Arabidopsis thaliana: one gene and its partner. The protein of the gene in region 1 interacts with the protein of each later gene in a pairwise test. Each region holds a gene or a part of one and is shown on either strand. Other genes may lie near its edges. The genes, in order: MYBC1 and TGA10.

The links.
Region 2: the proteins of MYBC1 (region 1) and TGA10 interact in a two-hybrid assay, tested with the Arabidopsis thaliana proteins (one large-scale study listed by BioGRID).

The regions. Positions count from the first base shown.
Region 1 is NC_003071.7:17,096,983-17,100,786, reverse strand, and holds MYBC1 (Homeodomain-like superfamily protein), read left to right. Parts: upstream 1-2,055; 5' UTR 2,056-2,268; coding exon 2,269-3,015; 3' UTR 3,016-3,237; downstream 3,238-3,804. Other genes in the region: AT2G40960 (Single-stranded nucleic acid binding R3H protein), read right to left, coding at 3,419-3,469, 3,644-3,804. UniProt on the Arabidopsis thaliana protein: Probable transcription factor that acts as a negative regulator of freezing tolerance via a CBF-independent pathway.
Region 2 is NC_003076.8:2,118,625-2,126,623, forward strand, and holds TGA10 (bZIP transcription factor family protein), read left to right. Parts: upstream 1-1,847; 5' UTR 1,848-2,286; coding exon 2,287-2,360; intron 2,361-2,444; coding exon 2,445-2,566; intron 2,567-2,937; coding exon 2,938-3,029; intron 3,030-3,235; coding exon 3,236-3,364; intron 3,365-3,488; coding exon 3,489-3,554; intron 3,555-3,662; coding exon 3,663-3,722; intron 3,723-3,809; coding exon 3,810-3,887; intron 3,888-3,978; coding exon 3,979-4,060; intron 4,061-4,150; coding exon of another isoform or gene 4,151-4,153; coding exon 4,154-4,425; intron 4,426-5,569; coding exon 5,570-5,824; intron 5,825-7,440; coding exon 7,441-7,593; 3' UTR 7,594-7,833; downstream 7,834-7,999. Other genes in the region: AT5G06830 (uncharacterized protein), read right to left, coding at 65-159, 232-326, 596-730, 875-935. UniProt on the Arabidopsis thaliana protein: Together with TGA9, basic leucine-zipper transcription factor required for anther development, probably via the activation of SPL expression in anthers and via the regulation of genes with functions in early and middle tapetal development.

The DNA of each region.
Region 1 (3,804 bases):
TTTCGCAATGTATTTTCAAGAATTAAAAAAGTTTTCAAGTTGTTGTTTTAAAAAGCTAACATTATTAGTTCAAAAAGGATAGTGCATAAAAACCTTCTTTTGTGCTTAACTGGCCTTAAGTGAGGTTCCCTTATACAAATCCATAATAATTTGGTGCAAAAGAAATCAGGGGGACAGTTCTTGTCTGCTTTCACTTATTGTCTTCGTGACTTCGGAAGAAGATTCCTTATCTCAATTTTCTTATTTTCTAAAGTATACGAGATGGTGCTGAGGGGTTGGCCACTAGACAATTTTAGTCTATTTAAATTTGGCCTTCTTTCTAAAATTTTAATGTTATGAATGGAAAAATATTTAGGTTAGAAAACCAAGTTGTTTTAAAAGAAAAATTAGGTCAATTTACCAAGTCGACAAGTTGCTAGTTCGCTTATTGAAAAGTGACTCTCCGATGATCAGCCGACCATTCGACCATTTAGGATTTTGGGTTCTAGATTTACTTTCACTCAAAAATAATGTATAAAATATGCTCTATCCATAACACTAAAACCAATAAAAATAAAACTTTATGCTCTATTCATTTGGCATATATAAAGTTTTTGAGAAATTGATTTAAGTAAAAATAAAAATAATGTTTTGAGAAATTCTAATCAAATATGGTGTGCGAGTTCCTAGATAAAATTGGAACGTTGTTTTTCACATAGAACGGATAGTTTCTTTAACAAAAATCATTTTAATTAAACAAAGACAATTTGACCTTTTTTATTGCGAATGGATCATTGTAGTTAAAGAAATCAATTTGACATTTTAGCTATCAGATTTAGCTTCCTTATTCACATCACACGCCGAACCTAAATTTGGAATATTAATCATTTCACAACACTCTACTACTTGTACATAGTTCATACCTAAAAAGGTCTCTGATTTATATGTTATGGCAGCACAAGTCCCACTCTCTGCCCATACCTTTGTATTATAATATCTGTATATGATAGTTCATTTATACAATTAAATTTTCATGCATCTCGAAATTTTACTGTAAGTTATTTTGCACAATTTATGAAAAACCAATACTACAAAATACCTAAAACAAAATGTGTTTAATTTATTTTGAAGCTTGTGATATCTAAAATAAGTAACAATATGGATATTACAAAAAATAAAATAAAAATTATTATAGTTCATACTAGTAAGAAAAAAAGAAAAATGGAAAAAAGTACTAACACGCATGGTTTACGGACAACTAACCCACTAAATGAAGTTAATTTAAAATCATTTAAAAAGTTGCCTAACCTAATCCATGTCTGCGCGTGGAATCTCATGCGTACTTCAGACCAATTGTACGACAGGGTGCTGTTTCCAATTACTCCACCCGCAAAATGAACGCGTGAAAAACCACGCGCCACGTGGAAAACCAAGAATCTTTCTGATGGTTCGGACCATAACTCCGAAACACATAAGACAATGACAGATCCAAACAAACAAAAAGTAAAACCAATCCCCTTCAATTATCAACTTTAACTGTTTTTGTCGTCTTCCTTTTTCTTTCTTATCACACTTTCAGCTTGAGATATCCTTAATTAATAATCATCTCTCTTTAAACTTAGAGAAATATTCGGGATTTATGGTTTTCGTCTTAATGAGGACACAATGATTATTATTTTAATGTAAGATTGAGATTTCTTCTTTCTGTCATAACTCATAAGGTTCTCTGCCTTCGGTGTAATCTAATCATATACTTTTTATTCAAATGATGTCGGCTCAACTATTGGCGCATTCTTATGCGATCAATTCTTATGTTACTAATTTATTGATCAAAATTGATACTCACACACTATCGATTATTGTTTTCTACCTAAGAATTATTGCAATTTAGTCACTACAAATAAATTAAAAAAACTAGAGGCAAACAATTCGCATGGAAAACAAAAACTGGCAATTTGGATGCCATGAACCGAACCGTGAATGACAATGACAGTTCATATGCTCACATTATTACTATTTTCTTACTACTTTTGAGTTATGATTTCTCAATTATCCTCTTTGTATTTTTAATAAAGACTCAACAATTTATTCCGTGTTCCATAACCCCATGAACACATTATTCGAGAGAAATGGAATCAGCCAATCACTCTCTTTCCTCCATATATAAAATCTAGCCAATATTCACAAATAATAACTACTTCCTTCGTTCTTTTCCTTACCAAAAGATCCACCTCGAACCTCTCTCCTCCGTCTTCCTCCGCAGCCGCCGTCACTATCACCGCAGCTAGAATGAGAGAAGATAATCCAAATTGGTTCCTTAGATGGGAAGAAGAGCTTCCATCTCCAGAAGAACTCATCCCTATCTCTCAAACCTTAATCACTCCTCATCTAGCTCTCGCTTTCCAAATCGGAAGTCCTAATCATCATCTCGGATCAAAGAGAACCACCGCGATTTATCACCAGAAGCTTCAATCCTCCACCACTCCAACAACTCCAACTCCAACTCCTCCACCGATGATGATGAATTCTGATTTCGGCGGTGGCGATTCCACGGATCTTGGTTCAGGATCAATAGGAGGAGAGCCAGCAAGAACGTTGAAACGGCCGCGTCTAGTGTGGACGCCTCAGCTACACAAACGTTTCGTGGATGCGGTTGGACACTTAGGGATCAAAAACGCAGTTCCAAAGACTATAATGCAGCTTATGAGCGTTGAAGGATTGACTAGAGAGAACGTTGCGAGTCATCTTCAGAAATATCGTCTTTACCTTAGGAGAATGCAAGGCGGGAACGGTAACGGAATCACTGGAGGACACGTCATCGTCTCTGATTCGGCTACTGATCGGCTATTTGCTAGCTCACCGGTTCCAGCTCATTTCTTGAGCCCGGATTACTTGATGCCGCCATTAGAGCATTCGTATATGGGGAAACATGTGATTACGCAGCAAAACCAAGTGGTTCGTAATCTGAGGTATGAAGATTCGGAATATGGTCATGGTAGTATGAAGATGCTTAAGCTCTTCCCTGCCGGAAATTAATGAAATATTTGAATTCTTAACTTCATTTTTATGGAAGTAATAATGTTTAAGGTATGTGGATTATCTCTGTAATTTGCATTTGTCGTCAGGATCAATAATCTATTGTTAGTGTATATTATTTGTTACGCGAACAATTTAACCTTTGTATGATGTTATCATTTGAATTCACTACAACACAGTAGCTTGTTTTTATTTCTTTCGTCTATTCATTAGTTTCCCTGGACAAGTTTGATTATCATTTGTTGCGCCTAATTTGAAGTCACGTCAAAGCTGAAGCATAAATAGTAGTAAACAAAAAGACAAGGCAATGACACTAATCAAAAGGTTAAGTTTGTCTATTTTTGACATCAAACTGTCTCAAAATCTGGATTACACAAATCCTTAGCCATGATGAGAAAAGTAATTACCGGTTCTGCATGTAATCGAAACTAAGGGGCTGCGGATAGAACTGCGCCTGCAGAGACAACAATCACTTTTAAAACTTGATATTCACTAATTCAGATGTGATATAAAATCCACATTCACTCTTAAGTGTGACATTGTGATCTAGGAAGGTCGACAACCAACATTTACACAATTAACAAAAAGGCTAAAGAAAAGAGAGGAAAAAGGGAAAAAATTTGTTTACCTGAAAAGGGGAGTTTCTGAAGTGGTCATATGAATGAGTATACATCACAGCTGCTGCATTTGGCCATTGCATGTACATAGCAGCATCTCTTGAAGGCTGGTTTAAACCTGTGGTGACGCAGGGGCTCATGACAGAATGTTGACCCAAGTTAAGAGATGGAG
Region 2 (7,999 bases), on another chromosome or scaffold:
TTAGGGAGATCAGAAATGCCAAAGTAGAGAGACTATAGGTAAAATCAAGTAGAAGCCAACTTACATTTCGTAATTAACATTCTGAATTATTATCTGAGCTGCCTCCCCAAGATAAATGTGATCTTTTTCAAACGCACGAACAATTGCTTCCCAAACACCCTAAAAGAGCATTATACAGCTGAGACAATGAACACAAACAAAAGTGCGAAACAGAGAGACAGTTTTCCTTACAGAAGCACCCGAAAGTCGACCAAAGATGTTGCGGCTTTCCGGAGTTGTCTTCAGGAGAATCTCATACACCTTTTTGACCTCCAAGTAACCGATCACTGGAAGCAAAACAACATTAAACTTGAATGAGAATACAACCAAGTAAGGCCCTCCTCCTAATCAATCATCAGACATAACCAAACAACAAACAAGCTTACGGTGTTCACAAAGATGCCAATAAAATCTCTTTGGCATTTTCAAACAAAATACTAACACTTTAAGTTATAAATGAGAGCAGTGAACCAAAACGCAATTTAAGACGAATTCGTTTTGAAGGTTTGAAAATTCGCCAAACTGATAAAAGAACAAAATTTGAAGAATTTAAAACCTTCAGGATCTAGGGTTTGAAAGAATGGATCGATCTCTTTAGGCAAAGAAGAGAACTCTTTTAAGATTTTGACTCTGATCACAGCAACCCTCTTCCTCCAATCCGCCGGAATTCTCTTCCGATCCACCAACCATTCTTCAAATTCAACAAAATTGAAATCAAATGAAGACAATAATCACCAACGCAGATTCGAATCCAACGAAGAAAACGAAAAAAAAAAACCAAAGAGATATAAAAATTTAAAATTCCGTGTACTCGTAATTGATAGTTCTGCATTACCTCCGAGACGAGAGAAGGTGATATCGATTGGAAGATTTTGAACATCATCTTGTGACGGCATTTTCTTCCGGTTAACCTTTCACGCTTTCTGGGAAATTTTATCTCCGAAGTCTCACACAGTTTAACGTTTTGGAGTCTCAAGAGTTTGCTACAGAAGAACGCATAATTTCATTGGTCTCATCAAATATCTCGAATCCGGTTATTGAACTAACCGAACCAATTTACTCCGGTCCGCGGCAGATTAAATTGTTTATTGGTTTTATATGGGTTGGTTGGATGGTCCATTACCGCGGTTAACATAAACTGGTCTATCTAGTAACGTCGGTTTTACCTTTACGGATTAGTCTACAGATTTTAAACTTTTTTTTCTTTACAAGTTAAAACTATTTTGAGGAAATTATTTGTATGAATATTTTGTGAATGATGGGAAAGAAATCAAAATTAGTTTACCAGCTCAATTTGATCAAACCAATTAGCTTAACAAAAACAAAACCTAGACCATATTAGTGCCCATTCAAACAAAGTACAATGGAACAGTTAGAGATACAAACAAAATTCAATCAATATATTTGACAATCTAAGTTCATAAATCACATAATAATGACTTTTAACTTGTTTCATATAATGTCTAGTGTTTATAGATTGAATGTAAGAGCGGTTAATGGATCATTAAAAATCGAATAAAAAATCTTATAATAATAATATAGATGATGGAATTGAAAAGTATATCTTAAAGTAAAAATCTAATAGCTGAATAATATATATAGGAGAAATATAATAATAATAATTTAGAGAACAAACAAAAAATATTTATACAAGTTTGTTATCAGCAATGTGACTAGAGAGAAGGAAGAAGAAGAGAGAGGGGATGGAAAAGGACATGTTCTTGACCGCTTTATCAGAATATTTTTCTTGGTTTCATACAAAAATAAAAACAAAGTCGTCTTCTAATATTTTAAGGTAGAAGAAACTTATACAACAAAAATATCAGAAAATAAAAAGGAGTTTGTCTTTAGGTTCTTCTCTCCAATCTCTATTTTTCTCTCCAATATCCTTCTTAAGTTTTTGAACCCTCTCCACTTCAATATAACCGACCTCTCTTCTCTCTTCTGAAAAAAACACCAAAGGAGCTTTAAATGCTCCGTTACATAATCTCTATCTCTTTCCAAGAATATAGAGAAAGGAAAATAATATACAAGAATTAAAAGAAGGTATATCATCATCTCTCTAGCTAGTGATCAAAGCACCGTCATCATCATCATATATCATCAGCTTGCCTCAGAGGAGAAGACCAACATAAGAGAGATCGAAGATCAAAATCTATCTCTCTTCATCATCTTCTGCTGTTACTATCATATCACACGCTCTCTCAAACATCATCCTATATATAGACTTCTCTTCATCATCATCAAATGCAAGGTCATCACCAGAATCATCATCAACACTTATCATCATCCTCCGCCACGTCTTCCCATGGAAACTTCATGTAATTTTTACTCACTTAATAACTTTTTGAATTGATTGATGATCCCCATGTTTTTAATAAGAGAGCTTTAATTTATGTGTGCAGGAACAAAGATGGGTATGATATTGGAGAGATAGACCCATCACTCTTCCTCTATCTTGATGGACAAGGACATCATGATCCTCCATCAACTGCTCCTTCTCCTTTACATCATCATCACACAACTCGTATGCACTCTCTCTCTCTCTCTTTTCTTTCTTTTTTGGGAATTGGGGTTTGTTTTTTTGGTTTCAGCAGATAAGGAAGATTCCCTTTAGGTGTGTGAGAGAGAGAGAGAGTCACAGCAAAAGCATGCCAAACAGATTTCAATCTTTCTTCTGCCATCAGTACTCTATTCTTTCAGCTTTGACCAGATCCTCTCTCTTTTCAGACACCAAATCTTTCAAATCCATATATCTTACACTTCTTTAAACCCTTTTCTCTCTCTGTCCTTTTTCTTCTAATTAGAAGAACTAGTCCGCTCACATATTTATATACATGACTTGTTATAACTAGACCATTTCTCATACATATGGTCACATGACTCATCTTATGGCAGAGAATTTGGCGATGAGACCTCCAACATCGACGCTCAACATCTTTCCATCTCAGCCTATGCACATAGAGCCACCTCCTTCTTCTACACACAATGTAATAATTATTACTATTACTTTATAAATTTCTATATATATATGCCAATTTTAGTTGGTTTCTGTTTCTAATTTAATATAATGTCAGCGCAACTACTAGCCATTTCATATAATATCAAGTCAGACCAATTATTATACGTTTCTTATTTTTCTATTGAGTAGTGATTTGATTGTTTTTTGGTTGTTTTATATAATGTGTTTGGTAAGACCGATAATACAAGATTAGTTCCGGCTGCTCAACCTAGTGGTTCCACTCGACCAGCTTCTGACCCGTCCATGGACTTGACCAATCATTCTCAGTTTCATCAACCTCCTCAAGGTTCTAAATCCATCAAGGTCTCTATCCATTTATGTTTTTTTAATCATTTAATTGCTTTGTCGAACTATAACTCGAGTATAGATATAGACTTGTTGTGGTTGTTTTTAGAAGTTAATGGGTCATATCTAAATGTTATGGCAGAAGGAAGGGAACCGCAAGGGTCTTGCCTCATCGGACCATGACATACCTAAATCGTCAGACCCTAAAGTGAGTGTATATTCATACAACTGCAGAAAATTAATAAGATTCTTTTTTTTTTTTTTTTTTTTACTTTTCGGTTTTTGATAGTTTCTTTATTAATTTAATTCTCAACAGACATTGAGAAGACTAGCACAAAACAGAGAAGCAGCAAGAAAAAGCAGATTACGTAAAAAGGTCAGCATTCAATATTTGTAAGTTGCAAATATAGTTTTTATATCCAAATTTATTTATAACGTTATTTGCTTTGGTAAATTACGACAGGCTTATGTTCAGCAACTCGAGTCATGTAGGATCAAACTGACCCAACTAGAACAAGAGATTCAACGGGCCAGATCCCAAGTAAATATTTGAACCTGTCTTTTCATATATATTGTATTTAACCTAAAGTCTAAAATGTACCAATTTAATTTGATTTCCTATATATGTTTAGGGCGTATTCTTTGGAGGGTCTCTTATAGGAGGAGATCAACAGCAAGGTGGACTACCCATTGGCCCTGGCAACATCAGCTCTGGTACGTTAATAGTTTCATAAATGTGATGACTCAAAAACCGTAAAATTTGAAAACCGAGAGAATGAGATATTGAGTAAATGCAATGTGAAGCAGAAGCAGCGGTGTTCGATATGGAATATGCGAGGTGGCTGGAGGAGCAGCAGAGGCTATTAAACGAACTAAGGGTGGCAACACAAGAACACTTGTCCGAGAACGAGCTTAGGATGTTTGTGGACACATGTTTAGCTCATTATGACCATTTGATTAACCTCAAGGCTATGGTCGCTAAGACCGATGTCTTCCACCTCATTTCTGGAGCATGGAAAACTCCAGCTGAACGTTGCTTCTTGTGGATGGGTGGTTTCCGTCCATCGGAGATCATTAAGGTACATCTCGTCTTTTCTTATAGCCATATACATATATTTAGGTTTTTCGAGAGATATTTACTTATTCTATTCGAGCCACATCCCACACAATAATTAGTCATGATGATATTGTAAACTAATCAAATATGGATTAATAAATCTAAATTTTGGAATTTTACTTGAAGACTAATCATTTTAAATTTTATCTTAGAACCTAAAATATTCCAGGATACAATCATTAATACCATCAATTTTGTGGATTACTTGCAGAACATATACTAATAATGACTGAAATTGTGACATTGTTATTATTTATATCGTACATATATGTCCACAGAATATAGTACTTCCAACTTTATTTTATTATTTAGATTTTTTTTTTTAATTTAGTCTTTGATTCTCGTAAAAGAGGTACGATATAGTAATAATAGATAAGACAGACAAGAGATAGACTATATAGTGATATTGTTGGACGAGGTATATATATACATAACATTGCATGGGGTGACTCTAGATGTATAAAACCAACATATATACGTGAATGTCTTTATATTACGACAATAATAAAGGTACACGTAAAATTATTTTGAAAACAAATTAAGAATGCATGCAATTGTGTGTGATGGTGAAGTATCTCTAGAAATAGGTAGGTTTTGGCATAATGCAAAAGAAAGTGCCTGTCTGTTTTTTCGATTTATGGGATCCATAGGAGAGAGAGATAGACATAAACCACCATGGAATTCAACAGAGACGACCATAATAAACAAACCAAAAATAAATAATTGTTTAACATTTTTAGCACGCTCGTCAATTGGATGATTATCATTTTTTTTCTTTTCTAAAATGGTTACGTAAAGCCATTTTAATTAAACCTACTTTTTATTCTAAACAATATGAGTACCTACGATAGCCGATTAATAATACAAATTAATATATGGATGGTGTGCATATCTGACAAGACCTTTGGCAATGTCTCAATCTTATATCCTTTTTAGTGAAAATAAAAAGGAAAGAAGAGATTTTGGGTGTAGCTAGTAACTCGTGCAGAGTACATACACTACACACTTTAATGCATTCAACGTTCTTTATGCATCCATTAAGACCATTGTTAATTAATCCTCGATATCTCAACTTGTGTGTATTAATTAGAAACGCATGCATGCAGGTGATTGTGAACCAGATAGAACCATTGACGGAGCAACAGATAGTTGGGATATGTGGGCTGCAACAGTCCACACAAGAGGCCGAGGAGGCTCTCTCGCAAGGCCTCGAGGCGTTGAATCAATCACTTTCCGATAGCATTGTCTCTGACTCCCTCCCGCCTGCCTCCGCACCACTTCCTCCTCATCTATCCAATTTCATGTCACACATGTCCTTAGCTCTCAACAAGCTCTCTGCTCTCGAGGGCTTCGTTCTCCAGGTACCCTTATAACTCTTTCTTTTTAAGTTTATGTGCAATTATATATCAATATACCAATCTTTTATCTTTATATAAAAATATACCTATAGAGTTGATATACAAGTGGACCCCTAGAGGATATATGTGGTCCTAATCAGACTAGGAATACATATTCTGTTTCTTTGAACTACTCCTTATTAAACTCAACTATCATATACTTATATATTTCTATATTTGGCTGTTATAACACGCTATCTAAATTTATATAGATGTTTGTATATATGTGTGTGTCTGTTTTGTGTACAACTCATATATAGGTATAACGTCGGCCATAATTTGTTAGAGGACATTTGTAATATATTAAGTGTATATAGAATAAAAGTGGTTGATTTTAAAGAAGATGTCAAAACTAATTCGCAAACTTAATAATTATGCATTAACATGTATATGTATATGAAATGGAAAGTATTTGCCTCTTGATTCGGACATTATGCAAGTAGGTATCTAACAAACACTTCTCTTGTCTTATATCAACTTGGTCGGGTTGCTTTTCTTAGACGACCAAGTTTATTAATTTAATATTTATTTCTTAATCATTTACTAGTTTAGGACAGGCAAGTTTTTGAAACAAAGAAATATATATATCTGCTTGTGTATATTAATGTATAAGTCTATACTCTATATGCAAATGGACATTTCGGCTAATTAATTCTATACAAGATACATGCATATACAAGTTGGCATCTTTCAATGATTTCTTAATATAATTAGTTCTAAATTGTTCCTGTTCCGCCTATAAAAAAAGTTTTTGTGTTTCGCTACACGGTTAGTCGCTCACAATTTGGAGAAAGATCCAACTTTAAAATAGGTGGTAAATGTGGGGTTAGTTACTAAAAAGGGGTAATGAATTCAATTTTCTCTAAACGCACGTGACAATTGGCACCATGAAAGTATGTATTAAGTATACATATTCCAATATATGTAGTCCAAAAGAAAAATACATATATTATGTATCTATAATATATCACATCAAATAAAAACATGGAATGCTTGGAGCCCATATCGTTGCATGATGTCATGGACGTAACTGCCCAAGTATCCCATCCTCCGAAAACACTTCCTTGAGAATAATTCCTTTACTTACATTTGATTCTGCATTTTTTTGTCTACTTTTATATCATTGATAATAGGTTGATTATATATGTATGATTCTAATTAATGATCAAAAGTATCATGAAGCATGGCGTGGGACCGAGGGTATGGAATTCACGGTTTCACCTTTTTGACATGTTGGTGTCGTGTTCTTATTAGTGAATTACTAACAAGCTTTGATTTTTTGATCGATCAACATGTTGAATAATCGGCATTAGTCGTCAATCAACCACATAATTTCGGGTCATGCACAATCATTATAATGCTTAATTAGTCCTTTATCTGTTTTTTTCCTCTCTAGTTAGTCTTTAATACTTATATTTATGAGATTAATGATGGTCCAATTCGATTATTTGTCCTTAATTGGTCTTAGTCAATAACATGTGCACTACTTTGTCCATCTTTTGTTTTGCTTTTACTATTTCTCCATTTTCCCTATAACTCTTATTTAGTTTTGAACTAGCTAATACATTAGAAACTTACAGGCGGATAATTTGAGGCACCAAACGATCCATAGGCTGAACCAATTGTTGACGACCCGTCAAGAAGCACGGTGTCTTCTAGCCGTTGCGGAGTACTTCCACCGTCTTCAAGCTCTAAGTTCTCTCTGGCTAGCCCGTCCTCGGCAAGATGGATAATACTAAAACAACTGATGAAGGAAACCAAAAACAAAAACAAGAGAATAGGTTGATTAGTTAGCCGCCAGCTTGACCTCTTTATCATATATATCGTCTCTCTACTCAAATACAGTGCAATTAGGGAAAATTGTTTGGCTTCTTTTTGTTATATGATTCTTACTATTATGTTTTTAATCAAGATGCAGATTATATATATAGACAAGTATTCCATACCTTTTAATGAATTCTTCCTTATGCAAATTCAAGTGAAAAATTATACTTGATCTTCAATTCCAAACACAAGAACATGAGAGAGTATTGAAAGGAAACAAAAATAGAAGGCTGGCAACAATTGCAGTTGCATGCAAGACTTATCACTTGTTAGGTCAAATTAAAGCATTGACCAGTGAGGAAGGTGACAAATGGT